Linked DNA regions of Caenorhabditis elegans. The protein of the gene in region 1 interacts with the protein of each later gene in a pairwise test. Each region holds a gene or a part of one and is shown in the gene's direction. Other genes may lie near its edges.

Region 1 (6,537 bases):
CATGGCTTGTTGGAGATGTTTCTGGAAAATGAAGTGTGAAGTTTCAGAATTAGATGAGGGAAAAAAGGAAAATGATTGTAGGAATGCTTTTTTAAGGGATTTTTGATTTTTTCAACCACTCACAGTGGACATGAGGGCAAGAAATTTGCAGGAAAATTGAAGGAATGTTAATTGTGAAATTCAAGAAACTCTACATTTTTTGAACGATTTCAGACGTTTTGAACTTCCCAAAAGACATACGTTTTGTAACGTTTTGTGAAAAATTCCGGGCTTTTTAAAGTATCGGCATGATATTTGTCCGTTTTGTGGCAATTTTGAGACATTTCATGGACCTGGAGGGACCAGCAAATCGACAACCCTTTTTGCTCACTTTTCAATTTCCGATAATAGTGTACATAAAGAGACTCTGAATGTTTGAAATTCACGGAATTTCCCAAGAGTTGGCAGAAAAAATTACAGCAAAATTTGAGGATAGTGAATTAAACATGATTATGAAGGATGGAACAAAGTGAGCAAAAAGTATTGTCAATGTACGATGTACTGTTTTTCAGAGGGTTTTCTGCCCTAAAAGTTATTTTCTTTGCATTTTGATAGGAGTTTTGAGTTCAAAAAGGTTTGATAGACAATTAAAAACGACTTCTTTTTTGAAAAATCACAAAAAAAATCATAAATTACCAAGACGGTAACTGGCAACAAACATGAAACAAAATCAGAAAAGAGCAACCTCTTCGTGTGCTGGTACAATGAATGAATGAATGAATGAATAAGAAATGTGTACTGTCGATCTGACAGAGCAACTACGACAATTGGGCGGAGTTTAGGTGTACGCATCTGTTTGTCAATTGACATTCCGATCGATTGTTGACCATTACAGTGGTATATCGATCTGAAACTAGGGTACTTTGGTCAAAAAATGGATCTTGCTGCTGTTTCATGAGGTTTTTTTCCAATTATTTTGGATTTATTGACAAGGAAAGAATGGAATAGAAAATGTTAAATTTCACATCAACTTTGAAAGCTTATATCTCAGTTATCGTTTGCCTTATTCAAAAATTGTCAACTAACAAAATATTTATTAGCTCTTTTTCTATAATTTTGTAACTAATAATATATTGATATCTTTAAAATGAACCGAGATATAACGTTTCAAAGTTAAGTAGTCGGGTGCAATACTAATAGAGGAAATACGGTATTTGAAACCTTAAAGACTGCTTCATAGGCTTGAAAATATTAACGGATTTGCATATAAAATAATGGTCTTACAAATTTCCGTAATAAAGAAGGGAAAAACTATTTTAAAATGCAGTATTTGTGCTCAAACTTCCAATTAACTATAGGCATTGTAGGTATAACATAATAATTTTTCCGTGCTCATTCAGTTGCTAGTTACCATTCCCCGTGTTTTTTCTGTCGACTCCTGGAAGGTTCTATGATTAACAAACATTTTGACCCTCCTTGAATCGTCTTTTGTGTAGCTGAAGTCGAGTAGAAGTTGCTTCTGCCGGTTTTTTTCTGAAACTCAAGAACAAGACGCTAAAAAGTTATGTTGTTTCTGCACTAAAACAATACGCATAAAACTTGTCTCATCTCAATTTTTTGAACAAAGCAAATGAAATATCAAACATAGAAGAAAATTTTTCATCGAATTCTCACAGGTTTAATTTAATAATGTTATCACTTGGAGCACATCACATCAAAGTCCCCATAAGAGGCAGTCCTCCTACACAAGGACTGTCCTGAGAAGGTTTCTAGGTTTGTTTTTTTCTAGGTTTGTTTTTTTCTATAATCCTTCGTTTGGTCAGAGATGTTTCTTTACAGATTTATAGCATACACAAACACTGTCTCTCCCAGTCGATCTACAACAAAACACGGATAGCCTGTACGAGAGATGCACGACGCAGACGGGCAGACGGTGGTCGTAAATGTTCGCGGGCCTTGCTCAAAAGGTCATTATGCAGTAGACTGTCGGTCTCTTCTTCCTGTTCTCTCATTTTCATTTTCTTTATTTTATCCAATTCTTTTTTTTCGAATTGTAAGTTTATGAATTTTCCCTTTTCTCCTCTATAAGAGCCATTTTTATTAAATTATTCCAATTTGTAGTTTTCACTTCAAAAATGGTTCTGCAATTAATCTTTTTTTTTTCAAAAGTAATCCTGCGCCTTTAGACTGTTTCGGTACTCCATTCCGCTAGGCTAATAAATTGACCTAATTTTTAGGTGCCAAAAAATGTCAAAAGAACACTCGTAAAACTTTGATCTACTGATTTTTAATCCGTTGGCTGATGTGGGAACGGGGTAGTCAAATCTATGTGACCTTGCGCGCGCAACTTATCATTCTGAAAATTATGCTAGTTCTAGAAGTTCCTCGAAAGCGTTTTTCTAGAATATTTAAGTTTAATTTTTTTCACTTTTTTAAGAACTTACTGTTTCAAGAAAAAATACTTGAAAGTTTCGTTTTAAACTGTTAGAGAACGGATCTTTAAAGTCGGTTGAAATTGGAATTCCTGCGCAAGTTCTTAATTTTCTGGACGAGAAATATATAAAAAACTGTTCAAAACTAAAACAATTGTCGCCTGGGAATCTGAAATTCTGCTAATCTTGAGCTGGGTTTTCACTTACTTACTGTCCTCTAGTGCACCCAACAAACTTTACTTTGAAATAATATATAAATTTTTCTTTTCATTGCCAGTTCTGACGTTCTTTTTCTTTTTTTTTTGAAATCCTTATAATTCCAAAATTCCAGATCATCATCTCTACTTGTCATGTCATTCATTGCATATCCATGTGCTGTTCCAACTCAGCGCCAAGTTCCAATGTCTCCTCCAACAACTCCACGGATCCTCATGAAACTCTGCCCGATCATGGAGATTCCCATCATTGGTGGACCCCGTCAAAATGGAACCTACAATGTGTTCATCTTCGACCTAAAAATCAGGAAGTTCATTCCACACAGATGCTCCAGTTGTGCAGTGAAGATCCTCGAAGATCACCTGTCACCGATGTATGCCTCGGGAAGTGTGATTTTTATGAGAAATGAGGTTACGCAAGAGGTGGAGCAGTATGTCTACTCGTTCGAGACTGGTGGCTTCCAGCAGGTCGACTATCCGGAGTTGGTTTACTCGGCTGAAAAATTCACGGAATCAAGTTTTATTGTGATGATTGAGAACTCTGATGGAAAGAAAGTTCTGATCGAGCGTGGAGGAAACGAAGCAGTTCGGAAGTTGGAGTACAGACTTGGGAAGTGCGTGGAAATGCCAAAAGTTGAGGTTCAACTCTTGGCCGCCGAAGAATTTGATGACGCGGATCCATGGTCTGACAACGACTCCCTCAGTTCTGAACATCTTGACTACAATGAAACACTTCCAGCATTTAAAACCACATTCTGCCAAGACTTTCAGATGTACGTTCTCTACATTATCACCAGCCGTGGTCATTATGAAAAGTACATATACAATCAGAGCACCAGTCAATTCGAGATCCTCGACTGTGAGAAGTGTCCGGATACAACCAGAGAAGTGGATCTTCTCCCCAAGTATGCAGAGTTTTGCGAAGAGATTCAGGCTTATGTGATTCACGTCTTCAACTCCTTCACAGATCGCATGGAGCAATATGTCTTCGACTCGAAGATTCAGGGATTTGTTGAAGTGAATCAGCCAGAGCTGAAGTATGACTCATCGAAGGATCAGGATCCGACTTCGAGCATCTTCTTCGTTCTCAAAGGGACAACAGTGATCATGAGGGGTGCACAAGGAAGACTGAAGAAGGAGGTATATTGCTCGATCAAAAAACATTTCGTGGAGGTTCCCAATTCGGTGATCAAGAGTTTTGATACTCAGTTTATGGAGAAGAAGCAGAAGATGGACAAGAAGAAGAAGGCCAAAAAGATCAAGAAGTCCAAGAAGAAGGCATCCAAAGAATCTCAAGAGTTGGATGTCTTGGTCGAGAAGATCCGTCTTTGTGATGATCCGTTTTCTGATGGCCCATCTTGCTCAACTTCTCCAGATATTCCGGAGGATGCCCCAGGTAACCCTTAACACTTAATCCATACTATTATTCATTTTTCTAAAAATATACTCATTTCAGACGATGGCATGTCAATTCTCAAACAAAAATTCGTGGAAAGCCTGACAACTCTCTACGGCGGATCGTTGCCACCATATGTTCAGAAGGAATTGGAACAGATTTGAGGATTTGGATTAAAATTAGTTTTTTTTGTTAAATTGCATATTTTTTTATTTTATTTTGTCTTGCGGTCTCATTTTTCTTCCCGATGTTCCATAAATAAAAGACAACTGTAAATTTGTGTGCCTTTAGAAACGGCGGGAAAAAAATCATTGCTGAAAATCTTGCTTGACGTCATAGTCTTTTAGAATGGGATTGCCAGGTTCTCTTTGAGGCAAATTAAAATGGGGCACGTTTCCAAAAGAAATCCGGCAAATGGATGTAATTTTCTCTGATTCTATGAATCTTCTGTCCACATTTGTAGTCCAATTCAAGGGTGGGCGGCAATTGCCGTTCGGCAAATTTTTTTGTCGACAAACTCGGCAAAGCGGCAAGATGCCGATTTGCCGGAAGTTTTGAATTCCGGCAATTTGCCGGTTTACCGATTTGCCGGAAGTTTTCAATTCCGGAGGTTTGCCGGTTTGCCAATTGCCGGAAGTGTTTAGAGGGGCTTTTTATATGACAGAAGCACTTAAAACTGTGCCTTTTTGAAATTTTATTCCGTTTTCTTTAGATATATTCATAGAGTTTGCTTATTTTTAAAAATAGATGTAGGAACATTCATAGGATGCGTAAAAGTCTGCTGAGTGAAATCGAAATTCTGAAATTTCCAAAAAAAATGTGCAAAACCACAATTTGCCCGTTTTTCTGGCAAATTTGGCAAAGCGTCAATTTGCCGGTTTGCTGATTTGCCGGAACTTTTCAATTCCGGCAATTTGCCGATTTGCCGGAAATTTTCATTTCCGCCAATTTGCAAATTCCGGCAAAAAATCATTTGCCGTCCACCCCTGGTCGAATTACTCTCAGGTGGATCGCGTCCTTGCTCAGTGTCTGGGAATTTAAGCTGACCTTGCTTTGTCTTAATAATGGGAGTATAGGAGAAATTTATGAAGAAATGTGAGAAGTACATGTAGCCAAGATATGGGCGGTGCCATATTCAGTTCATGCTCCGCCCATATCTTGGATACTTTTCTGTTCAGATTGCCGATAATTCTTTCTATTAGATCAGCAGCCGTAACATGTTGAGATTTACCATATCTGTAAAATCAGTTCCCAGAAATTTTGTTAAAAACCATCAATATACTACATTCGTTTGTAGATCTTCTCCTGGTAGTCGTCTCAATCTTACATCAGTCGATAAAAACATCTGCCAATTCCCACCTCTTTCCCGAATCTGGTATCCCAAGAGCTGAGTATCGATTTAAATTGGTTGCAGCGTTTGCTCCAGATGCTCTGAGTTGTCTTGAAGAGCAGAAGACATCATTCAGTCTGCCTGCATCGCCTCTAGTAGGTCGTTTTTCTTTTCTCTAGTCAGTCTCTAGAGCTCCTGTTTCCATTTTTTTGTTCTCGGCTATGAACTACAGTATTTGTTTCCTTTTTGCCTTTTTCAAATATGATGTATTCTTGAAATTGATATGTCCGTAGTTCCCTTTTCTAAAAGTGTATCTTGTAGTTACTTGTGGTTTTACCAAAAATTGGACAAAAAATATCAGTTGTACTTTGATGGTTTTATTCAAAACTTGATTTTAACACAAAGGAGGACTAAAGACGCTATTTATGCCCCTGATACCAAATATCGATGTGAAAAAAATATAAAAAATTTCCGTGATTTTATATTAATTTATTAAAATCCCAAAATCCTATTTAACGCCGAAATTTTCGTCAGAAAAGGCATCGCCCATAAAAACCGTACCGCACTTGTGGATTTACGAGATTCATATTTTCGATTCATTTTATTTAATTTTCAGCCCTAGCAGTAGCCTTACCTAAATTCTAGCCCACAAAATTTGTGCATCTTCCCGCCTAGTATTATACAACAATCTGTATTGATTGCTTATTCCCAGGTGTTCTGTACGCGGAGTTGGCGGGAGCATTTACCAATCGATAAACTTTACTTGATACGTTTATATGTCCTGTTGCACTCGTCGTTTTGTATTAACTCCTACAACACTTTTTGCTCACTACTTTTTCATTTTTGATTTTTTGCAGTGGTTCTTATACTTCTAAATTTCCTTTAAACTCCTATTTTTAATCGCGCCTGGTAATTTCACTTATCACTTTTTTATTGCATTTGTATACGTTTTCAATTATTCTTAATCTAACTACACCTTAATTCCAGAAAAATCTCCAAGATGACACCTCTTTCTGCTCTTACCTCCAATCCAGCGCCTTCACCTCCACCGAAGTTTGCACTCGGAAAGTGCCCTGCCACTGCTATCCACGTGGTCAGTGTTCTTCGCCCAAACAGACAACGCTTTTGCTATGAGAAAACGGATGCTGGTGATTTGATCCCTCACAAATGCCTCATATGCCAACC
Region 2 (6,098 bases), on another chromosome or scaffold:
TTTCCAAAATTCCAGGATTTTTCTCGAATTTTCAAACTTTCAAGAATTTCATACACTTTTTGAAATCTGCTCAAAATTAGCTTTCATATGACATCCATATTGCCTAGGTTCCCCTCTCATCCCAAAAAAATGAAAATTTAGGTCCCACCACGAAAACCTACTGGTTACTGTACATAGGCGCGCTACTTAATGAATAATATTTTTACACTAAAATTCCATATTTTTGCAAAATTTTATAGCAAAAATTAACCAAAAAGCAGTTAATCTGAAAAGGTTATGGATTTTCGAAAATTTTCGGAAAAAAATGTTCGAATTTTTTTCCAAAATTTTGAATCTTTTCAAATGTTGCAAATATTGCACAATTTCAGGGTTTTTTTCGCAAATTAAGATAAAAACGTTTTTAGATCCCCAAATATCGATCGATTATGTGACGGAATAAATCTACTCGTTACCGGACCTCCGGCTCGCCGAGCATCCATTGAGACCCTCCTACAGAACAATCAAAATCCCAATACAAACCTGGAAAGCCTGATTCTACAATTTCCGACAATTCCCGATGAGAATGAGGTGGAAAATGATGACGTAGCGCTGCCAGAAGGCATGCAAACCTCCACGACTACGGTAGTTGCAAATGGAAAGACTCGGTGCTATAGGAATGGATCGTGCGCAAAAAGTTATCAGGGGTAGGGGGGATTTTTATTTTTTGAAAAAAAAAAGAAAAATTCAAAAAAAAAATTTTTTTTTTGAAAATTAGGTTTCACCACGAAAACTTCTTGATTACGGTAATCATGCTATCAACTTAAAAAATATTTTACAAGATAAATAAACACTTGGGCTAAAGTTTAAAATAAAAACCAGCCAAATATCTTGAAAATTCCCAAAGTTATAAATTTTTGAAAAACTTGTTTTCGAAAAAAAATATTTTTGTTCAAAAAATCTCAATCTTTCAGTATTTTTATAATTTTTACGAAAAATATTAAATACACAACATTTTCATGGTAATCTCATTAAGAGCTTTAAAATAACACCCATATTGACTAGTTTCCGAGAAATTTGAGATTTTTGGGTCCCGCCACGAAAATCTCTGAGTGTACTGTAGCAAATTTCAACGCAGTTGAGTTTTGCTAATTTTTCTTGCTAGACAACGTTAAAAACTTTATTTGACAGCAAAGAAATAGATAAAACCTTGAAAGTTATAAATCTCTAATTTTTGACTTACACAATGGTTAAACTTCTTCTACTCTGTAAAAATATTTTTAAGCAAGCAGTTACCTAGACTACCGTAACCTAGGGGGTTTTCGTGGAGGGACCCAAAAATTGAAAAAGTTGGGGAACCGAGACAATTTGGGGCTTATTTGAAAGGTCTCAGTGTGTCAAAAACAAATCAAATAAGTTTAAAAAATATAATAAAACATATAATAATGTTTTCGAGAAACAAAAAATTTTGAGAAATTTTTTATTTATTTTCAAAACTTAAAAATTTTTTATTTCAGAGAAAACTTAATTTCAACTCCGGTATCCGGTGACTCAATGCTGGGTGATAGTTGTTCGATAGCAGCAATCGATGATGATATACCACTTTTATAAATTATTGATTTTTTTTTCAATTTTTTTTCCATTTTCTCCGAATTTTCTCCGAAATTCCACAATTTCCCAGAAACATTCCTATCGCATTGTGATACGAATTTCCCGTCCCCTTCTCCCATTCCATCCTTCCCTCCAATAAATCAGCTTTCTGAGCCGCCTATGAGCCACCACACCAGAGCCCAAGAAAAATGGGAGGAGCCAAAGATAGTGTAAAGTTGAGAGACCGCAGAGAAATGATGGGGACAACTGTTCGAAAATTGACAAGAAGTGATATGGGGTCATTGTGTGGCAGATGGGCTTGCCTTGAAGCACGCATTGTGCTCTTTGGAACATTTTTAATTTTAAAGATTTTTTTACTGAAAAATTTAAGCTAAAAATCAAGTTTTATAGCTGAAAATTTATTTTTTTTAAATATAAAGCTAATATTCGAGTTCAGCTCATTGAGCCCGTTTGAATGACCCCCATATTGCCTAGGTTCCGACCATTTTGATAAACTTCGGCAAATTTTGGGTCCCGCCACGAGAACCTTTGGGGTTACTGTAGGAAACGCCAATTTTTGTAGTTTTTATTTTTTACTAAAAACTACATTTTTCAAATATACGGTGAAGTACAAATTATTAGAAAATTATGAAAAATAAAAAAGTTGTGGATTTTCGAAAATGTTCGAAATTCTGAAAATTTTTAAATTTTTAAATCTGCCGTAACATTGTTCAACTTAGATTTTTTTTTGTTTGAAGAACAAGAATTATGATTTGTGCTCATCAAGAGCTTTCAAATGACTCCCATATTGATGGAGTTACGCCGATTTCGAAAATTGCCGACCATCTGCGCCTAAATTTGAATTTTCGTTGCGAGACTCAAATTTTCCAAATTGATGCCATCTCTTCAAGAAAAAGCAGCGAAAAAGCACATCACCTTGCTAAAAATTCAGAATTTTAATCATCTTTTAATTTGAGATATCAAAACCTATATCGAAAATTTCGGGTCCCGTCGCGATTTGAAGGCGCATAGGTAGGTCAAAACTCAAAATTGACGGATTCTAGTCAATATGGGTGTTATTCGAAAGCCCTCGGTGCGCTGAACACGAAAATAGTATAATTTCAGTGTTAACTTCAAATTAAAAAGCTTTACAGTAATTTTTTAAAATTTCCAAAATGCCTACTTTTCGAAATTTTTCGAAAATCCATAACTTTGCTCATTTCCAAGATTTTCTGTTAATTTTTGCTGTAGAATGTAGAATCAAATGTTTTCCAGCTGGAAAAATTAGCTTGTTCAAGTTTAGCAATGTTGCTACAGTACCCCGGAGGTTTTCGTGGCGGGACCCAATTTTTTTCAATATTAACGGAACCAAGTCAATATGGGTGTTATTTAAAAGCACTTGATGCTCTTATTTCAAATACATTTGTAGAAACTTTAAGAGGTATATATTTTCAGTATGAAGACCGTAATTTTCCTGGCATTGCTTGGCCTGGCCGCCGCCGAGTTCATTGAGATCGGCTACAAGGTGTGCAAATCCGACGGTACCGTATCCCAAGTAAAAGCCGACGGATGTGAGCTCACAGTGAAGGACGGGAAGAAAGTTTGCCTGTTCAAGAAAGGAAGCCGGCCAATTATTCAAATCGCGTTCAAACCAAGCAAGGACACCGACAAACTGAAGACCTCCGTGCGCGCTAAGGTTGGCGGCAGTGCTATGGTTGACTTCCCACAAACTAACTCGGATGCTTGTACTTATGGTGGGTTACTGTAGTTTTGGGGGATGTGAACAATTTGTAAAAAAAAATTTTGAAAAAAATGTTTTTTTTGAATTTTGTATGATTTTTTTTTCAAAAATTTCTAATGTTTCGAGTTTTTCAATTAAAAATTTAGTCTCGACGCGAATTTAAAGGCGCATAGAGGCTCGATTTTCAAAAACAGCGGAATATAGGCAATATGGGGGTCATTTGAAAGCTGAAGCCCCGTAGAATCTGAAAATCTAAGTTAAAAATAGTTTACTTAAAATTGAAGTGAGGAAAAAGACAAAATTTAAAAATTTTGATTTTCAAAATTTTTTGAAAAATTTTTTAAAGCTATTCCGATATGAATTGCCCTTAAGCCATGCAAGCAAGCCCTGCAAAAACAAAAAACCCGCATGCGGTCTCGAACCCCGGTCTTGTGAGCCCCAGCCATCCCTGTTAGCCACTGCGCCAAAAATCAACTTTTAAAACTTTCCAAAAAAAAGTGCACCGACTGAAAAATTCTGAAAATCTCAAATTTCAGGTGTAAAATGCCCAGTTTCCGCCGGCGAAAATCAAATCTTCGAACAATCGATCTCGATCACCGAGAATCATCCAGCAGGGGAAGTTATTCAAGTCAATTGGCAGCTTACTCGTCCCGATTCTGGAAAAGAAGTCTGCATTATTTTCTTGGCTGAAATTAAGGAATAGATTATTGATTTTATTGTATACTTCTGATAATAAAGAGACTTGGAGCATTTTTTAAAAATTTGCAAAAAAATATTTTTCACGTGAAACACAATTTCTCCTCCCCCTCCCCTGTTAAATGTTATTTTGTTTCAAAAAAAAAGAAAAATCTAGTCAATTTTCAATCATTTCCGAATATTTTCCTTCTCAAATCTGGTGAAAGTGAAGTCTCTTGTGTTGGAAAAATGTCGAATGAAGCGGTAAGGAGTTTAGTTTTGACGCTATCAAAAACTTGTCAACTGCCAAAATATAGGTCTTAAAATTCCCTATATTTTGTTAGTTGAAAGCTTTTTGATAGCTCTTCTACCAGCAGAGATACACGCGTTCGGAACTAAAGAGACGAAAGAGTGTGTGAGGGGGAGAGACGCAGGCGGCGCGCGCACACTGCGTCTCTCCTCCCTCCACACTCTCTCGCCTTAAATCTTTGAAAAGGCGTATCTCGGCGGGGAGAAGTGCTAGAAAAAAGTTTTTAACTGAGAAAATATAGGAAATTTCAAGGCCTATATTTTTCCTGTTAAGAACATTCAGGACCTGCTTTAGTACTCTAAATAAATTAATTTTTCTAGAAATAATCAATACTTTTGCTATTCTGAAAGCTTCCTCATAAAACGACGATTATTGATTTTTTGAATTTTTTATTCGAAGTTTGGAAAAAAATCCAAATTCCAAATTCTCAAAACGTGAAAATTTTCAATTTTTTTCAAATTTAACAAAAGAAACTCGGTTTTTTTCCGAATATGCAGGTTTTTTTCTAGAATATCAGTATGTGCTCAAGTAACGAGAGTGCGTGGGAGGGGGAGAGACGCAGGCGGCGCGCGCACGCTGCGTCTCCCCTACCCCCACTATATCTCACAGCTTCAAACTTTGAGCGCGTATATCTCCGCGGGGAAGTGATCTATAAAAATATTTTCAACTATGAAAATGTAGGAAATTTAGAGAGCTACATTTTGTTAGTTGATAACTTTTTGCTAGATGTAGAGATTTTGGAGATAAATTGGTTTTTTTGTTCAGATTTTCGAAATTTTGGTTTTAATTTTATGGAAAATTCAAATATTCACTTTATTTTTCCATCTATTATTTCTAAACATCAGTGAAAGTGAACAGTCGTGTTCCTTCCCAAAAAATGTCCGTAATCTTGATTTTAGGCAGTTTTTCGCGAAGATTTCGGGGTCAAATTAGATCCAAATCTACGGGATTTTAGTGGGTGGCGGTTTCGAGGCGGTTTTGACACGTTTTTTTGGAACATTTTTAAATTTAGGAAGTAGTTTTTGTGGTTTTAAATCTTAAGATTAGTGATTTTTTTTTTAAATTTTATCAAAAAAAAAGTTTTAACTATTTATTCTATTTATTTTTCTTTTTTCAGCTCGTCCATTACACTAATTCGGAGCTCGAGTAAGCTTTTCCCACATTTTTTTGCTCAAAAGTTTCACATTTTCCCAATTTCCAGATTGCTCGACGCCGACTGCCTGACAGCAGTTTCATTCAACGAACAGCTCCGCGAGCAAACGGAAAAAGGAATTGAAGGTATTTATTTCCAGCATTTCCAATATCATAAAACTATTTTCAGAGGAAATGGGAAGACGTGCCAAGGCTAAAAGACGTGCCACTAAAGCCGCTGAGCTCAATTCTGCTGAGGCGAACTCCGAGATAAGAGATGAGGATGAGACTGATTGTGAGGTAAGGGAAAAGTTGGAATATCTCGAAAACTGGAACAGTTAGCAAAAAATCGACAATTACCATATTATAGCTCGTAAAATTTACTATATTTTGTTAGTTGGAAACTTTTTGATAGCTGTTCTCCTAGCTGAGATACGCGCGTTTGAAATTAGAGAGGCAAAAGAGTGAGGGAGGAGGAGAGACGCAGACGGCGCGCGCACACTGCGTCTCCCCTCCCCCACACTATTTTGCCTCGCGCAGCTTCAAACGTGCGTATCTCAGCTAGAAGAAGAGCTATCAAAAAGTTTTCAACTAACAAAATGTAGGGAATTTCAAGGGCTATATTTTGTTAGTTGACAACTTTTTAATAACTTCGCTAGTTCTCAACATGTTTTC
Region 3 (10,153 bases), about 12 Mb from region 1:
AAAATTCTACGCAAAATTGTTCAAATTCATGCGTTTTTTTCACATAATATTTGAATGTTTACACCCGCGCCCTGTTTAGCGGGGCCAAAAACACGTGATGTCAGGCTGTACGGTTTGATCTACAAAAATGCGGGAATTTTATGCCCAAAAAAAAGCGCGCCGTAAATCTACCCCAGATATGGCCTGGCCTAGTTTGGCAAAAACTCTTCCATTTCAATTTATGAGGGAAGCCAGAATTCCAGAATTCGTTCAACAATATTTCAGCTTCACAACGACGCTCCGCTTTACACCCGCGCGCCCTGTTTATCAAGGTAGATCAATTTTCAGGTTTTCTCGGCCAGATTATAGAAAAAACTCGTCATTTGACCTTATTTTACAAAAAAAATGTTGGATTTTGTTGCAAAAAAGCTCTAAATTTCATGCCTCACCTGCAAAAAAAAAAAGTTTTAGTCTTTGTACGTTGTGCAGTCTATCTCCCGGAAGTCTCAAACCTTGTGACCCTCTGCTTCATGGGGCTCCATGGGCTCTCCGGTGAGCCCGGCTCATCGGAGAGCTCAACGTGTTCGGCAAAAAGTCGAAACACTTGGCTCAATCAACCTGGAGCACAGCCCCCCCCCCCCCCCCCCCTCCCGATTTTCTCTGCGCTTCATCACATTTGTTCGCACTTTTTGGGGGGGGGGGGGGGGGGGGACAGACCCGGCTCCTCACCCCATTGTAATTCAATTTATCTATTGCTGTGCCTCTCTCTTCAAGGTCTTCAACAGCACAATTTCCTCCCCTCTCTCTCTCTGGCCTCCTATTCGCTCTTCATTCCTCTTCATTTACTAGTCTCTTATATTTTTATATTTTTCAATTTTTCTTCAATTGTTATTAGTATTATTTTTTACTTTTTTCCTCATAATATGACGGATTTGGCGACGTGGCCTTAAAAAATTAATTTGGTGGCCGAACTTTCTCTCCTACGGCCACGAAGGGAATAGGAGCTCTGAAGGATTTGGAGGTTTGGCCTTAAAAAAGAATTTGGTGGCCGAATTTTCTCGTACACGGCCACGCCACGTAGAAAATATGATCTCTGAAGAAATTGGAGGTGGGGCCTTCAAAATTAATTTGGTGGCCGAGTTTTCTCGTACACGGCCACGTAGAAAATATGAGCTCTGAAGGATTTGGAGGTTTGGCCTTAAAAAATAATTTGGTGGCCGAATTTTCTCTCCCGCGGCCACGTAGAAAATCTCTGAAGCTCTGAAGAATTTAGCGACGTGACCCAAAAAAAAGATGATGGCCGAATTTTTTCGTACACGGCCACGTAGAAAATTTTTGAAGCTTTGAAGGATTTGGAGGTGTGGCCTTGAATAAAAGTTGGTGGCCGAATTTTCTCTTACACGGCCAAGTAGTGAAAACCGCCCATCGAAGTGGTCCTGTACTTCAATTTGAGCAAAAAAGTTTTAAAAAAGTTTGTGGCCGAACTTTAGTATGCACGGCCATTTTCCACAAGTGGTTTCTTTTTTATAAAGTTTTGGTAAACCTTTTTTGATAGCCCGAAAAAGTTAGTGGCCGAACTTTCTCTTTTACGGCCACGTAGGTAAATATGCTGGGCCAAATTTTTAGCGTAGAAATTCCAGTGACCTAGTTTTTCCCTCTCGTGGCCTAGTTCTCTAGAAACTCTTCGACATTTGGTTTTTGAGCTAAAATGAGCCAAGAAAAAGCGAAAAATAAGGAACAATAGGCACACTTAGAATGACCAATTACTATTTTATGAGAGAAGCGCCGCCCGTCTTTTTTTTTCTTCTTTTTTCCCTACTTATTCTCTCCTCTGTCCGCTATTAATGCATTTTAAATTTGGCATTGTCATTTTTTGTCATATCTGAAAAAAATTTCAAAATCCCACGGGGTTCTGGCCTTCCTCATTGAATTTTCGCGCTCCATTGACAATCGCCTGCCGGACAACGCTTGGGAAAGTCGTGTACTCCACACGGACAAATACATTTAGTTTTACAACTAAAATCGAGCCGCGACGCGCCGTAAATCTACCCCGAATATGGCCTGGCCTAGTTCGGCAAAAACTCTTCCATTTCAACTTCTGAGGGACGTCAGAAATCCGTGCTAGTTGTGTTTAATTTTTCTTCACACATTTGTTTATGTTTTAGAGTGGCCTATGCAACGACACTCCGATGTTATGCGCGTGTTGTTTAGAAATAAGCCACTAGGTACATACTAAAAACTGTGAAAATTTAGCACCTGGATCGTGGCGAGACCCACTCGGAAAATCAGCGTGTTCCTTTAAACTGACATGTCAAATTTGAGTGATGTCCCTGCATATTCATTTTTGAAGTTCTATCACAGTTGGGGAGTAATGCGAAAACTCTTCCAACTCAAATTCTCCGGTGACCTAAAAACTCGGAAAACTCTTCCACCAAGCAGTGGACATGGACCTTAAATCTACGAAGAAAACATGGAAGGTGTGTAATGTAATTTCAAAAAATTATTTTTTTTGCCCAAAAAAAGGACAGTAATGGCTGAAAAATGGCTGAAAAAAATTTTGGAAACAATGAAAAAAATTGTCTAAATTTGTTGAAAACGGGTAATTCATATATGCAGAATTCAGAAAATCTAGGTTTAGAAAACTATTAAAAAGTGGCAAAATTGAGCAATTTTTGTAAAAAATTACAATTTTAAAACTCTTCTAAAATGGATAATTTTGAAGCTAGAGGACTCAAAATTGATCTCCGAACCTTAAAAATTGTCTTCTTGCATAATTTAGTAGTTTCGAACATTTTCAGAGAAAATTTTTTTTTGCCCGAAAAAAAGGACAGTCATGGCTGAAATATGGCTGAAAAAATTGGGGAAAAAATGTAAAAAATATCTAAATTTGTTGAAAATTTTTTGGGCGAAAAATTCCCGCATTTTTTGTAGATCAAACTGTAATGGGACAGCCCAGGTGTCTCTAAAGATTCCCGGTAACCTAGAAATGCCAAAACTCTTCCACCATCCAATTTCCTCACTCTTCCTGCTTCCTGTTTTTCACCGAACCCACCCAAGTCATTTTTCATCTGTCTTTTTTTTCTTCTATTTTCTTTGTTTCGAAACGGCTGAAAATGGGAATGTGGAGGCTTTAGTAACCCATTAACGCCCCGCCGTCACACCGGCTTCTCCTCTTCTCATTTCGTAGTACGGCTCCCTCCTCCGAGCAGCTCTTCATTTTTCCACCCCCCCCCCCGCTGCTCCAAATTATTCGTTCACGTTCTTTTTCCCCACCCAAAAATTTCACTTGCAGATACCATCTTTCAATCAAATGTGGGGAAAAATAACCTCGCATATTGGAGTATGGTTTGGGCTGGAGGAGGCCGAGAGGCCTATGAGAGCATCGTGCTCACTGTCTATGATACATCATCCACAGCTCACCGCTGTTAGGAGTTCGAAGTCGTCGGAGAACTTGCATAGGGTGAGTTTGGTATTTTCAAGAAAAATCGAAAAACCGAAAAAAATTATAAAAATTGAAATTAAAAAAACGCCTCAAAAACGAAAATTCGTCGATATTTCGATTTTTCGATTTTTCAAAAAGGGTCATTTTTTGAAATCCTAGGCCACAGTCGGTCGGTAAATGAGGATATTTCTTGTAAGCCTAGGCCTAAGCGTGAACCTAGGCCTAAGTCTAAGCCTAAGCCAAAGCCAAAGCCAGAGCCTAATCCTACGCCTGAGCGTAAGCCTAAGCCTAAGCTTAGGCCAAAGCTCAAGCCTAAGCCCAGTCCCAAGCCTAAGCCTAAGCCTAAGCCTAAACCTAAGCCTAAGCCTAAGCCTAAGCCTAAGCCTAAGCCTAAGCCGAAGACTAAGCCTAAGCCTAAGTCTAAGCCTAAGCCTAAGCCTAAATATTTCGATTACGCTCCACATATTCCAGATCACCACAATGTCGCCGCAACGAATTCAGGACGTGGACGGCTCGCCGAGCACCCGGAAGGTCAGTAAGTCACGCCACCCCCTCTAAACTTCCGGCGATTCTGCATCTCTTCCACAAGACACAAACACAAAACATTATTCCAGCCGTCCTCGTCAATTTTCACTTTGCGTCGGAGTCGGAATAAGGAGAAGAAATACAAGAATAACGGCGGTGGCGAGTTTTTTTTTTCGAAATTTTAGCCAATTTATTCTATGGGGTGCGGGGGGTGGCACAAGTTAGTCAGTTTACACAAAAATGCTCTCCAGAGTCTTCTCCCAAAAAGGTTAGTTCCGAAAACATATGAGCCCCCATATAATTCCACATTTATTTCTGTTTTTTCAGGAGGCTCCACCAAATCTCCGATCTCGAAAAACGGAACAAATGAAATGACACAATCATGGCACTCCAATCATGTGAATGGGGCATCATCGGGGTCCGGAAGTGGAAGCACACCAGAACATCATAATAAGAATATTTTCAGCTTTTTGAGGTAAGTGGTGGAGATTCTTATTAGGTTGTATATTGAAGTAAGACTATAATTACAGTAGTTTCGACACCTTGTTATGTTTGTTATAACTTACCACGTGGTGTCAAAGTGCCTCATTTTGGTTTGATCTCCGAGAAATGCGGGAGAAGAGACGCAGACTTTTCAACTGGTATCGCATGGTTAAGAGTGTGCTGACGTCACGTTTTTCTGGGGGAAAAATTCCCGCATTTTTAGTAGATCAAACCATAATGGGGCAGCCTGACACCACTTGACTTACTAGTTATATCTGACCACAGGCAAAGCCGGTACGGTCCGTTTACGGATCTTGGACCGGGAACGGACCATTAACGGGTGAACTACGGATATGAAAAGCGGGACGGACCAATTACGGGCAAACTACGGGGAATGTAAAAAAATGGCCATTAAGAGGAAAAAATGGATTTTAAGAAAACGAATTTTTTTAATACCTATGATACCAGTTGGCTAATTTAAGCATTTTTACGTCGTTAAATGCATTATTTAGAGCAAAAAACACATTTACCGACCGAGACGGCTCTTGAGCCGTAGTTGGGCCGTTTCCGGTCCGTAGAATTTTCTTTTCAAAAAAAAAAAATTTGAATTTCCCGCCAAAATTTTTTTTTCTCAGAAAATTTGATTTTCCCGCCAAAATATTTTTGTCAGATAATTTCAATTTCCCGCCAAAATTTTTTTTTCTCAGAAAATTTGATTTTCCCGCCAAAATATTTTTGTCAGAAAATTTCAATTTCCCGCCAAAATTTTTACAGAAAATTTGAACTTCTCCCCAAAGTTAATTCCCAGAAAATTTGAATTCCCGCCAAAATTTTTTGGTCAGAAAATTTCAATTTCCCGCCAAAATTTTTTTGTCAGAAAATTTCAATTTCCCGCCAAAATTTTTTTGTCAGAAAATTTCAATTTCCCGCCAAAATGTTTTTCTCAGAAAATTTGAACTTCCCGCCAAAATGTTTTTCTCAGAAAATTTAAATATCCCGTCAACACGTGGTGTCAGGCTGTCTCATTGCGGCTTGATCTACAAAAAATGCGGGGATTTTTCCCCCAGGAAAATGTGACGTCAGCTTAATCCTGCAAAATCAGTTGAAAAGTCTTTGTCTCAACTCCCGCATTTTTTGTAGATCAAACCAAAATGGGGCACTTCGACACCACTTACGCCAACATTTTTAATCAGAAAATTTAAACTTCCCGCCAAACTGTTTTTCTAAGAAAATTTTCCGAATCAAACCCTAGTAATACCATTTCAGCCGCCAATCACGTTCCCGCTCCAACAATCCATCTGAAACCATGTCAACCGTGCCCCTAAACAAGAACTCTCCATCAATGCCACCACCACCATCTAGCAACACTGTGGCCGACTTCACACATCTTCGAAGACGTCGACCACGATCAGCACACTACGATCCAAATACGATAACGCTTCCTGCGAAGGAGGAAGTGACACCGCAGGATGTGAATGATCTGTACAAACGAATTGACAAGCTGGGGGAAGGATCTTATGCAACGGTGTATAAGTGCGAATCGAAGTTAGATATTTTAACAGCTGATATTACCAAACTAAATTATATTTTCAGACTTGACGGATCCATAGTCGCCTTGAAAGAGATCAAACTTCAATTTCAAGAAGGTCTCCCATTCACCGCTATCCGTGAAGCCTCGCTTCTCAGAAACCTCCGTCATGCGAATATCGTCTCTTTGCACGACATCTTCTATCAACACCACCAGCTAACTTTTGTGTTCGAGTACATGAAAATGGATTTGAGCAAGTACCTGGAGCAGAACGTCTATGGGTTGGATAGCATTGACATCAAGCTTCTCCTCTTTCAACTTCTCCGCGGACTCGATTTTTGTCATAGGAAGAAGATTCTTCATAGGTTAGTTTTCAAACTGCTCCCTAGTGTTGATAGGGCTCCCAGCAGAGTGAGGCGCGAAATTCGGGCCTCACGCCGACGCCGTTGAAGCGCGAAAGGTGGTCATTTGGAGCGGCCGACACGTTCGGGGTTCCGCAGCTTGGCGTGAAATGAGTAGCCTGGTGTGTGCGCAATGAAGTGCGTAGAAGTGGTTGTTCGGAGCGGCCGACACGTTGGGGGTTCCGCAGCTTGGTGTGTGCTCAACGTATTGCGAAAGGGAGTTGTTTGGAGCGGCGGACACGTTCAGGGTTCCGCAGCTTGGCGTGAAATGAGTAACCTGGTGTGTGCGCAATGAAGTGCGTAGAAGTGGTTGTTCGGAGCGGCCGACACGTTGGGAGTTCCGCAGCTTGGTGTGTGCTCAACGTATTGCGAAAGGGAGTTATTTGGAGCGGCGGACACGTTCGGTGTTCCGCAGCTTGGCGTGAAATGAGTAGCCTGGTGTGTGCGCAACGTAGTGCAAAAAAGTGGTTGTTTGGAGCGGCGGACATTTTCGGGGTTCCGCGGAGGCCGGCGCGGCGACCGCTGGGGTCGGCGGAGGCGCCGTTGCGGCCATAACTCTTGATAAAAACTGATTTTCAGAGATTTAAAACCACAAAACTTGCTTCTCGACGAAGACGGTGTTTTAAAACTCGCAGACTTTGGTCTAGCCAGGGCGAAATCTGTGCCGAGTAGGACATATTCTCACGAGGTGGTCACTTTATGGTACCGCCCGCCTGATGTTCTCATGGGAAGTACCGACTATTCAACTTCCCTGGATATGTGGTAGGAGGATATTATTTTATAAAAGGTACCAACTATATCTACTAACTTTGCAGGGGAGTCGGTTGCATATTCGCTGAAATTTGCACGGGCGCCGCTTTGTTCCCGGGATCCAAGGACTCTCACTACCCCGGCACCAAGGACCAGTTGGATATGATCTTCAGCATTCGGGGTACTCCAGACGAGAAAAAGTGGCCGGAGGTGAGGGAATCTAAAATCTAGAGATAAAGATGTTTGTTTCAGGTAAAGACATTACCAGGCTACACCCCTGAACTGTTCCCCAGGTATCGGGAGTTGTCGTTCATCGCGGTGAACCCGATGTTCACGAAGATTCTGAAGACTGGTCAGGAACTTCTGGGGATGCTTCTTCAGGTAAGTAGACTTGTAAAAACCACTCCTTTAGTCCCGAAAAGACCGAATATCATAATAAAACGTTTCAAAAAAATTTTGAAAATTTTTTATTTACTGTAATTTTACCACTCATAATTTTGGAAGTCGACCAACAAAAAAAAAATTTTTTTTCCTACATTTTTATACTGTAATTGTGTTTTAATTATTTGTATTAAAATATTGTAGGGGTCGGAACATGCGACATTGCTCTAGATTTCCTCAATTGCTCATTTTTCAAAATTTTAGCAGTTTGCCAAAAATTTGACCTGAAATTGTGAAAAATCTAATTTTTTGGATTGTTTTATTATGAAATTTGGTTTTTTTTTCGGATCATTATGTATGTATTTTGACAAAATTTTCACTGGCGCTACTCCACCTTTAAGTCAGTCCAGGCCTACTAGTCTAATCTTTGACAAATCAGTCTTCGCGAGCTATATTGAGCAGCAATCTTTGAGTGCAAGCTCAAGCCGAAAGCTTAAGCCCTGGCTGCAATGCTAGTCTAAATGAATCGACATCGAGCTACACCTATCTTGTAACCCTCAAAATTACAGCTCCGCCCGGAAAGCCGTGTCTCCGCAGCCAGTGCAATGCTTCACCCCTACTTTGCCTCATTCCCCCGCGAGGTTCATCTCCTGGCTCCAAGCCAGTCAATATTCCGGCTCAAAGAGCTGAAAGATCTGCGATCACTATAACGACCAAATCTACTACATCTCCAATTTCTTTACACATATTTTCTTGCTCCAAATTGCTACGGGTGCTAAAAGCTAATATAAATGTATGTATGTACTTATTTGTTTTATTAGTCATGTTGAATTATTATTACGAGGTGGTATTTATGTGATATGTGAGAATCGGAGGGAGTCGCTTCAAGTTATGAACGTGTTCCTGGGCATGGGTAGCATTGCTGAAAACTTTAAGATAAGGAAGCTCATTAAACCAACACCTACCGCTGTTCCGAAGTCTCTCTTCCTCCGCTTCAGACCAGTATCCTGTGTACAGATGTTACAGTCTTCTCCCAAAAAGTTTCTCTTCACTCTATGCCGACACTGTGGGAATGCCATGCAATTCTGCTCCGAGACGTTGATATTCGGCTGCCCGAAGTTTCTCTTGACACGATGTGGCGTGAGCCCAGAGACTCCACACCTCGAGCACTTCTTACGACGGAACACGGCTTCTCGTTTGGTTCTCTTGTCTGCATAGACTTTTTGGAAGACTGCGTACTCGACGTTGTTCAGGCAATCGTCACTTTGTTGGCAGGAGCGGCGTTGCTTTCTGCGGGTCTCGATGGTTTCCTCAGAGGATTCGTCGTCCTGAAATGAAAATTTTAAAATCCGCATTGATGTGACGCCAGTTGAGATCTCTGCGTCTCTCAACTCCCGCATTTTTTGTAGATCTACGTAGATCAAACCAAAATGGGACACTCTGACACCACATGAACCAGATCAATTTTTGGTGTGCCACGATGAAGTACACGCGTAAAATCCAGTAAATTGTTGAAATCATTGTGAAATGACCACGCCAATAATTTTTTGAGTGTAAAAAGTCATGAACTGTGTCAAAAAAATGGTGAAAACTGTGGAAATCCCATGAAGAAAGTCCATTTTAGGCCAAATTCGTCACTTTTGGGAGTTAGATGTGCAGGTGGTCTCGCCGCGAATACAGTATCCTTCTCAGTGGCGCGTGCGCGCGTGATTCAATTAGGGGGTTTTTTTTTTGGAATTTTCAAAAAGTTCTTACAGGATCTAAAATTTCAGGTCTAGTCCTCACCTCATCATCATCATCAAATCCTTCCTTATACCCCTTCTTTGCTCTGATATCCGCGATAGCTTCGCTCATCGTCATATGCTTCTCCACCTTCTCGACTTCTCTCTTCTTTCTGCTAGCCAAGGCAAGTGTCACCCATGCCGGACACGGAACACAGGATGCAGCATTATCCGGAGCGAAGAACTGCCGCTTGACTCTCTTGTGCTCCTCCATCGCCATCTCGTACTCTTCCACCAGCTTCTTGTGCTCCTCCACAGCTTTGTAGTACGTGTCGAGCCGATCTGCATTTCTCTTTCTTCTCTTCTTCTGAGCCAGAACACAGGCTGGGAACTTCATGCATCCTCCTGGATTGTTGCCACCTGAGGAGGCCTTGGATAGGAGCTTCACGATATCCAAAATTCCTTTTGGATTGTAGGCTTGTCGTTTGCTTCGCTCATTGATACTGAACTCATCGTTATCACACTGTTCATCTGCATATCTTTTCTCTCTTTTCAAGCACTGATCTCTCTCGGCTTCCCGCTTCTTTCTACCGTAGTGTCCATTGCATGGCTCACAATATTGGGATCCGATCAGGTTTCTCTTATAGCGACGGACATGCAGGGTACATTGTGGATGAGGAAGGCACTGCAAAAATAAATTTAGCTTCGTTAATTTCTATGAGTCAAACTCACGCCAGCTCTCTTAGTTCTGTGCCCGGCGAGTGGAGTTCCAACTGGCGACTGCGATCCGCGTGGCGTTTGATCTCCGAGGAACGGGTTCCAATCAGAGTATTGTGGTTGTAGGTAGGTACACGGAACACAATCGAGAGACCGCTTGGTTCTCTTGAGCGGAGTTCCGTTCAGACACAGCTGGCATGCTCCATTTCCAAAGTTCATGTTTCTC
Region 4 (7,006 bases), on another chromosome or scaffold:
CCCGAAAAAATTTCAGTAGCTCAAACTGAAAAGCTAATCAGTCCTCGTCGTCGTCAAGAAGTAGCCGTGTGAGTGATTGGTTCAGCTTCTTCGGATAAGCGCTTGTTTGCCGGCGTGGGAGTCAACGGAGCCATAATCAAATTCTCGGATTTTTATTGGAGCTCCTTCACCGACGATTTCCATGGTAACTGACTTATTGTGAGAAATAGGAAAGAAAATCTGGCAAAGGATATACATAAAAACAGAAAAAATGAGGAGAAGCAGCAGTCTGAAAATCGCACTTCTTGGTAGGGGTTAAGGTAATGTAGAGACGTGGGAGATTGAGGAAAAAGTAGATAAATTTTTTCAGGTTTTCATTGTTATATGTCCAATTAGAGTGTGCAATACTTCTTATTCTGGTGCAATATAATAACTGAATCTTAAAATATAATACCGTACTCCGCCTAAACCGACACAGGTAAATGAAAAAATCCTTCTAAATAAAAATCCGATTATTTCCATGTTCCTTTTCTTACTTCATGTTTTATTTTTTAAATTCAAACTTTAGGAATTTAATCAGAATATTTAAATTCATAACTTTAATTTTTAAAACAACTCGAAGTTCTTTTCGCGAGAGATATTATTCCGAGAATTCTCTAAAATAATCTTAATTTTAGAAATCGTATCAGTTTAAATAGTTTAGGTAAATACGATAAAATTGTATAGTTGTCCTCCAACATTCAGTTTTTAAAGAAACCGACAACAACATAATTCCCACCACGTGATCTTGTTTGCGTGAGAATTTTCTCTTAACACATTTATTGTCAACAATTTATTTTTTATTTTCAACGTGAATTTGATCATTCAAAAATCGATCGATAGACATTTTATTTCAATAATTTTCAAGCGTTCGTGTAAATAAGTAAACAGAGTCAGTTTTGCGTGATCATTTCCCATCCGATTCAAGAAAAAATTGTTTGCCAAAGTTCTCACGCTTGACTACGGTAAGTTTTTGTGTGCAATCTGCCGTCGAATCGAATGTTTACACCATCTGCCCTTTGTATGACTCTCTTCGTTTCCCACACTATTTCACTTTTCTCTGCTACTGACTCTCAGACAAACCCTGAATTTTAACTGATTTCCTCTTGTTTTTCCACTGTTTTTTTTTAAACTGAACATTTGAAAATTTCTAAAATTTTAATGTCGATTTGTCGCTTTTCTTTTGTTTCATTCATTTTTCTTTCGCTTCTCATGAAAACGGCAAGAATTTGGGAACAATAATTTTAGGATTCTTTCAATGAGCGATCATAGTTCAAACTTATCACGAGCTCAAGTTACCATGAAATCCTTAAAGTCCACGAAAATCGATTTCATATTGCTATATTCTTATATAGATTTTTGCATTCGAGAACATTTATGTAAACTGAAACTTTAAATGTTTTTCCTCCTCCGAAATTTGTTTCTTGTGAAGTTTTCGTTAGCTTTAGTTTTCATTTTCTCAACATTGTCAGATTTTGAAGTAATTTAAACGGAATTCCTTGATCAAAATCCTAAAAAACAGTTTTAAAACAAATTTAAATAGTTTTCTGTACAATAAAACTAAACGTTTGCACATTTGAAAAGTGAGTTTAATTTTTATCAGGATCTGTTCTCTAATCCGCTTTCTGTAATCTCAAGTTTCACAATAAGCTGCCAATTTTATAACTTTTTCATAGTAAATTGTTATTCAATATTCTTCCTAAAATTCATGGAGCTCCACACTCCTCATTAGCCTTCTGACCTTCGAACAAAGCGGCAAAAAATGGCAGGAGCGCCACCTGTAGGTTCGATTGACCTTGAATTCCACCCAGCGCACCACTTCTTCGTTCGGTTCTCCTTGTGTCGCGGCCACTCGTCGATCATCTTTTTTGCGATAATAGTGTCTCAATATATTATCACTTTATTAGGCGTAATATTTTCCATATCATATAATAATTTTAATATCTACAGTTCGTTTGTGTTCCCGCTTGTGATATTTTTTCTAACATTGATGACGTCAATGTTCATTGAATTGATTTTTAAAGCTTAAACTCATAATTTTTTCATCACGCTCATTTTCTGTTAGGTGAATGTTCTAACACAAGCAATAGTTCAAATTAAAAGAATGCTCATTTTATAAAGCTAACCTGTTATATGATGAACACAAGGTGCGGCATGTATTTCTCTTCCGATCGTTCACTCTCGTTCAAAATGCACAAATATTCCCTCCCACTTATTGCCATCCATCTGATGCAGATAAGTAACTCATTTGCGATAGTAAACAAGCCCTCTTTCTCTCTTTTTCACCTCTCATTTTCTCACTTTCCTATTTTCTGTGGAACTGTTTCATTCAAATATATATTCTAAATTTCAGGTAAAATTCAATTGAAAGCGCCCATACAAGCAGTTTAGCTGGAATAAAAGTTCAACTGGCAGTCTGCCAAACTAAGTGCCTTTGTTAAAAAGGTGAGCTGTGAATTTTCAAAGCAGATTTTTTTAAATTTAAGTTATTTTCAGAAAGCCAAAGGACTCGAATTGAATCGTCGGATCAGTCATCATTCAGGCAACGAACAGTAAGGTTAGGTTTTTTTCTTTTATGTTGCTAACGTGGACTGCTAACTTTTGGACTTTTTTCTCTACTTCTGGACTTTAATTCCCTTACCTATTACCCAGTGACGATATTGAGATGGGTCAACAGTTTTGTACATTCCATGATATCCGCTAATTTCTACACTTTATCATCACAATGTCGTTACCGGATATCTGAATCGAATGTACTGAACTGTTGATTCTTGCAGGTAGATGTTCCCTCTCACTCGCTTCTTCGCCAGAGCTCTCCTGCCACAGCGCCACGTTTGCTATGGTCAAGCACGAGCACTAGGCTCTTCCTCTACATCGTCATCAGCAACAGCACCAGTTGAAGAGGAAGAAGTATCGTTTGAAAGCCTGAAACCATCTAAAGTATTCGAACGAAGCTTAACAAAAGAACTCAAGGAAAAGTATGAGACTGCACTCAAGGAGTTTGAAATCTTCGTTTACATGGGAAAGTATGTTCCGACACGAATGAGTGATGAAGCATGGAAACAAACTTTAATTTGTGAATCGATAAACGATAAGATTGGATATTGGGAGTATCTAGCGGTCACTGATAAGCGAAGAAGAAGTAGGAATAAAGCTCAAAGTTCCGGTGCAGAGAATTACAAGAAAGTTTTGGAAGAGCAGCAAAGAATTTATACAGCTGGTGGAATGGGATACGGACCAGAGATGTATCAAGTCATTTCGAATCCGATGAGAAATCAGAAACGAGTGAATAATATCGAAGGGTCCAAAATATTTGCCGCAATGAATTCCGGAGCACCACGCATCGCACTTGATATTCAATATGTCGAAGAAATGAATAAACGCGATTCTGGAGAGCTCGGAAATCAAATGCAGTACACGATCAGCGAGAATTTCTCGGCCAAAAGTCCATTTGTTCTGGATTTTGTCAATTCTCCATCTAAAGAATTTTTGGAACAATGGTTGTCGAAAAGTGTTGGATATTACACGGGAAATTATATAAACCAAACGATTCTGCCGGATTTCTCGACAAAGGGTTAGTGTTACGTTTTGAAATGGAATTCATAAATCGATAAATTTGAATTTTTGTTGATTAATCGCCAAAAATTTGCATTTTGGAAGAGAATCTGAAGAAAAAAAAATTTCGTGAATATTTTAAGGAATCAAAGAATTCTATGGAAAATCTGCGAACACTATCTACATATCATCAAACGCTAGAGATGTTCTCGATGGTCCACTCACTGCCGATGTAATTGGAATTTGTGTCACTATGGGACGGAAACGAGAAGCTTTGAGCGCTGCTCGTCGTGCCAATATTCGCGCCTATAGATTACCGATTCATCGATACGTGAAATGGAAGTCGGGGCCACAATATTTACCGTTTCCCAATATAATGAATGTGCTCCGCGAAGTTTACATGAATGGTGGAGACTGGAGCCGTGCTCTACACAACAACATCAGTAAAAGGCATTTGGTGAATGCGGATGACGACGAACAGAAGAAAATGCAAATGCTGAGGCGGAGAGCGAGAGAGGAGGAACGTAGAGAATTGACTGAGGCAATTATGAGCGCTACAAAGGGTTAAAGAGTGAATGGCTGAAATTGAAAAGAATGAGCTTTTGTCGAATTGACAAGAAAATCATATAGTATTTTAGAAAAATATAGATTAATCATTGAAGTCAATTTCACTTTTTAGTTAATGCCATGCAAAAAAAACGACAGACAGCTCTGACTTCTCTTTAAGTGTCAGTCACTCTTTTTCTCTAGCTCTTTCAGACAGGTGAAGCTGAGCGTGGCAACTCACTTCATTTATCTTGGTTAGGGTAGCTAGAATGTTTAGTTTTTGCAAATTATTGTTATTTCTTATTTGTTGGACTGTATAATTATTGATTGTTGATTTACCTTCCATTTAAGAATGTTCGTATAAATTTTTTTTGATTTTATCTCTCACTATTCTTATTAATTTATTTTTTAATTCAGTTTAATCTGTGCTCAAAGCATTTACTTTTTCCATTGAATGACATACGATTTATTAGCTTATGCGTGCGTATCGATAATCCGAAGAAAATAGGAAAATTCAAAGCTAATTTGTTCCAAATTTTGCGCTATAAATATCAATTTTCGTATATTGAAGTAAAAAAAAAACTGAAACCGAATAAGGAAAAACTGCTGAGAAACTGACAACTTTTATTGCCTATTTCCTTCGTATTTCCGCTTTCATTCAGCCATCCGTCGATTCGTTCTGCCCACTCGTGCGCACTTGGTTTTTTCTGTGTTATTTGCTGTCTTCTCAATTCTATTCTGGAGCCGTGTTGAATGGCCGCTGGCCATTAAACTGACGTCATCTGGTCATGTTGTTGAGGGACGGAAGCATTGAAGAAGGAATGCACCACGCGCCCCTCGACTCCTCTCGGAGTCCCTCTTCGGAATCGAGAGAGCTCTGTTTCTGTGTTTTCCTGTGGTGCTACATTTACTGGAAACTGATCGAGCTCTAGATTTCCGAGTGATATTTGCTTACGTTTCAGTATAATAATTACTGAATTCTTAGAACAAATTTTTCGAACTGATAATTATTTTGAAGTTTGTTCGATTTTGGGATTTTGGCATATTTCTAAATCTGAATCAGTTCTCGCTAAACTATTATTGAAAGTACTTTCACTCTTTTCATTTTTTTTTGCTTGGTGCCACGATTCCTGAATAATTTACAAGAGAAGTGGGAAAAGGGCCCGCTGATATACACACGATAGTTAAGGTTGAAGACGAACCCCCGCTCGCCCCACTCTTTGATTTTCTATTTATAGATTTTTTCTCACCTTTCCAAAACTTGAGAATGCTACTTAAATACATACGATTTGTGAACTCAAAAACTTTTGAATTAGACTATTTTCAACATTTGAATTGGTCATTGGGGCAACCACTTTCCCATAATTTGCATTTTACTTATTCATCTACTGTTAGTTTTGATGCTGGCGTCGATCTGTGATACCGTTTTAAATGTGTTTTTTTTCCGAGAAAGGAAAGAAACTGGCAAAAAAGCCATATATGTAAAGTGGAGAGTCACATTTTCGTATTTGACACAACATTCCACCTGTCACTTTCTCTTTTTGCTGGCTCTGCTCAACGACGGCGATGTGAAGTTTTTTCTTTTGCGTATCCATCTCATTTCCAACTTGATTTCAATATTAATTTTATTCAGCTGACGTGTGGTTTTACGATGGTTTTTTTTAGTGAAGAAAAAAGCAGAAGCGATGGAATAACTCAACTACGCCCCTGGGTATTTATTATTAGTTTTCACGCCCACTTTCCGATTTGTCGTCATCACGTTTAGCGCTACTCCAAAGTGTTGGGGTCTAGCTATAATTCTTTTTTTCAGTAAATTGGGGTTGATGATCACGAGAGAGAGAGAAATTTGCAAGAGCAAATGCCCTTTTTAAGGCTCTTTTGAAGCCTTGATTTCGAAAGGATTTTGTGTCTCTGCTCGTTGCTTTTCATGCCTCTTTTGTTTGAATTGCATTCTTCTGCTTTGGTGTTGCCTCTTCTTTCTGGCTGAAATCGACTTCTTCTTCAACAACAACGACAACACATTCCTACGCATACAAACATGCACACAACCATGTCAGAAATTGCAATTAAGCAGAGCCGTTTTCGTCATCGTCATCTTCCTCCTTTTCTTGCCGGATATTTTATCCTAGATTCTATTATCCGGAAGATTAAATTTGAGTCCTTGTAACATTTGGAACGATTATCAAATCGTCAGGTCGTAGCGGATCTGATTTTGACTTAATCTACTATTTTCGGATATCTTGTTGTTTTCTTTAAAAGTAAAAAAAAAACGATCGTCACACTGTTCAAAAGAGCAAATTCAGAATTTTGAAGCACAGCCCGCTCAGTTTCACTATAGTAACGCGATGAGCTCTTCAACAGAAATGTGACAGGCTTCCGTGACTTTTGAGCTGAATGCGAACGACCCCTCATTACACGAAGGAATGCGTTTTTTATTTCGTGTTCCAGGACAAATGAGTTTTGTCCTTCTTTTCGATGGCTCCCTTTTTTGTTGTCTGACTCTCTATTGTTCTATTTCGTTTTCTAACTTCAACAGGATATCCATCTTCCACGTCATGTAAGGTCTCAATTGGAAAATCTAATCTGATATGTTTCTCGAGTGCATTCTCCCGAACATTATCAAATTTTCTCACTCCTTTATCCATTTTCTTCTCCTCCAGTCGTTTTTTTTGTAACCAAGTTTCTCTTTTTCGGAGCTCTAACTCCATCGCGCGTTCCTTTATTCTCTTTTTCTTCTTTCTCCTATTTTTTCCTCCTCTCACCCTCTCTTGAACCTGACGTTGCCGTCACCATCGTCGTCGTAGCATTCAAGAAGACAATTCTATGGACGGGCACGTAAAAAAGAGAGAAGGGTTCCATCATGACGACTTTATCGTTCTGTTTTTGA

The links.
Region 2: the proteins of T04D3.1 (region 1) and heh-1 interact in a two-hybrid assay, tested with the Caenorhabditis elegans proteins (one large-scale study listed by BioGRID).
Region 3: the proteins of T04D3.1 (region 1) and cdk-14 interact in a two-hybrid assay, tested with the Caenorhabditis elegans proteins (one large-scale study listed by BioGRID).
Region 4: the proteins of T04D3.1 (region 1) and trmt-10C.2 interact in a two-hybrid assay, tested with the Caenorhabditis elegans proteins (one large-scale study listed by BioGRID).

The regions. Positions count from the first base shown.
Region 1 is NC_003279.8:13,300,517-13,307,053, reverse strand, and holds T04D3.1 (NTF2 domain-containing protein), read left to right. Parts: upstream 1-2,742; 5' UTR 2,743-2,761; coding exon 2,762-4,022; intron 4,023-4,082; coding exon 4,083-4,186; 3' UTR 4,187-4,295; downstream 4,296-6,537. Other genes in the region: sdz-30 (SKN-1 Dependent Zygotic transcript), read right to left, coding at 1-3; Protein sepa-1, read left to right, coding at 6,353-6,537.
Region 2 is NC_003281.10:3,196,440-3,202,537, reverse strand, and holds heh-1 (Putative protein heh-1), read left to right. Parts: upstream 1-3,021; 5' UTR 3,022-3,022; coding exon 3,023-3,320; intron 3,321-3,843; coding exon 3,844-4,010; 3' UTR 4,011-4,061; downstream 4,062-6,098. Other genes in the region: frm-8 (FERM and PDZ domain-containing protein 4), read left to right, coding at 405-683, 1,494-1,587; R148.7 (uncharacterized protein), read left to right, coding at 4,232-4,246, 5,410-5,438, 5,494-5,570, 5,614-5,723.
Region 3 is NC_003279.8:839,882-850,034, reverse strand, and holds cdk-14 (Protein kinase domain-containing protein), read left to right. Parts: upstream 1-3,271; 5' UTR 3,272-3,289; coding exon 3,290-3,439; intron 3,440-3,543; exon of another isoform or gene 3,544-3,864; intron 3,865-3,892; coding exon 3,893-3,952; intron 3,953-4,035; coding exon 4,036-4,105; exon of another isoform or gene 4,106-4,186; coding exon of another isoform or gene 4,187-4,214; intron 4,215-4,273; coding exon 4,274-4,421; intron 4,422-5,695; coding exon 5,696-5,974; intron 5,975-6,022; coding exon 6,023-6,322; intron 6,323-6,937; coding exon 6,938-7,120; intron 7,121-7,173; coding exon 7,174-7,318; intron 7,319-7,360; coding exon 7,361-7,489; intron 7,490-8,058; coding exon 8,059-8,199; 3' UTR 8,200-8,293; downstream 8,294-10,153. Other genes in the region: ZC123.1 (Sperm mitochondrial-associated cysteine-rich protein-like), read right to left, coding at 8,379-8,411, 8,455-8,817, 9,275-9,895, 9,943-10,153.
Region 4 is NC_003281.10:6,343,916-6,350,921, forward strand, and holds trmt-10C.2 (tRNA MethylTransferase), read left to right. Parts: upstream 1-2,365; 5' UTR 2,366-2,463; intron 2,464-2,514; 5' UTR 2,515-2,532; coding exon of another isoform or gene 2,533-2,574; 5' UTR 2,575-2,575; intron 2,576-2,795; 5' UTR 2,796-2,799; coding exon 2,800-3,592; intron 3,593-3,716; coding exon 3,717-4,141; 3' UTR 4,142-4,495; downstream 4,496-7,006.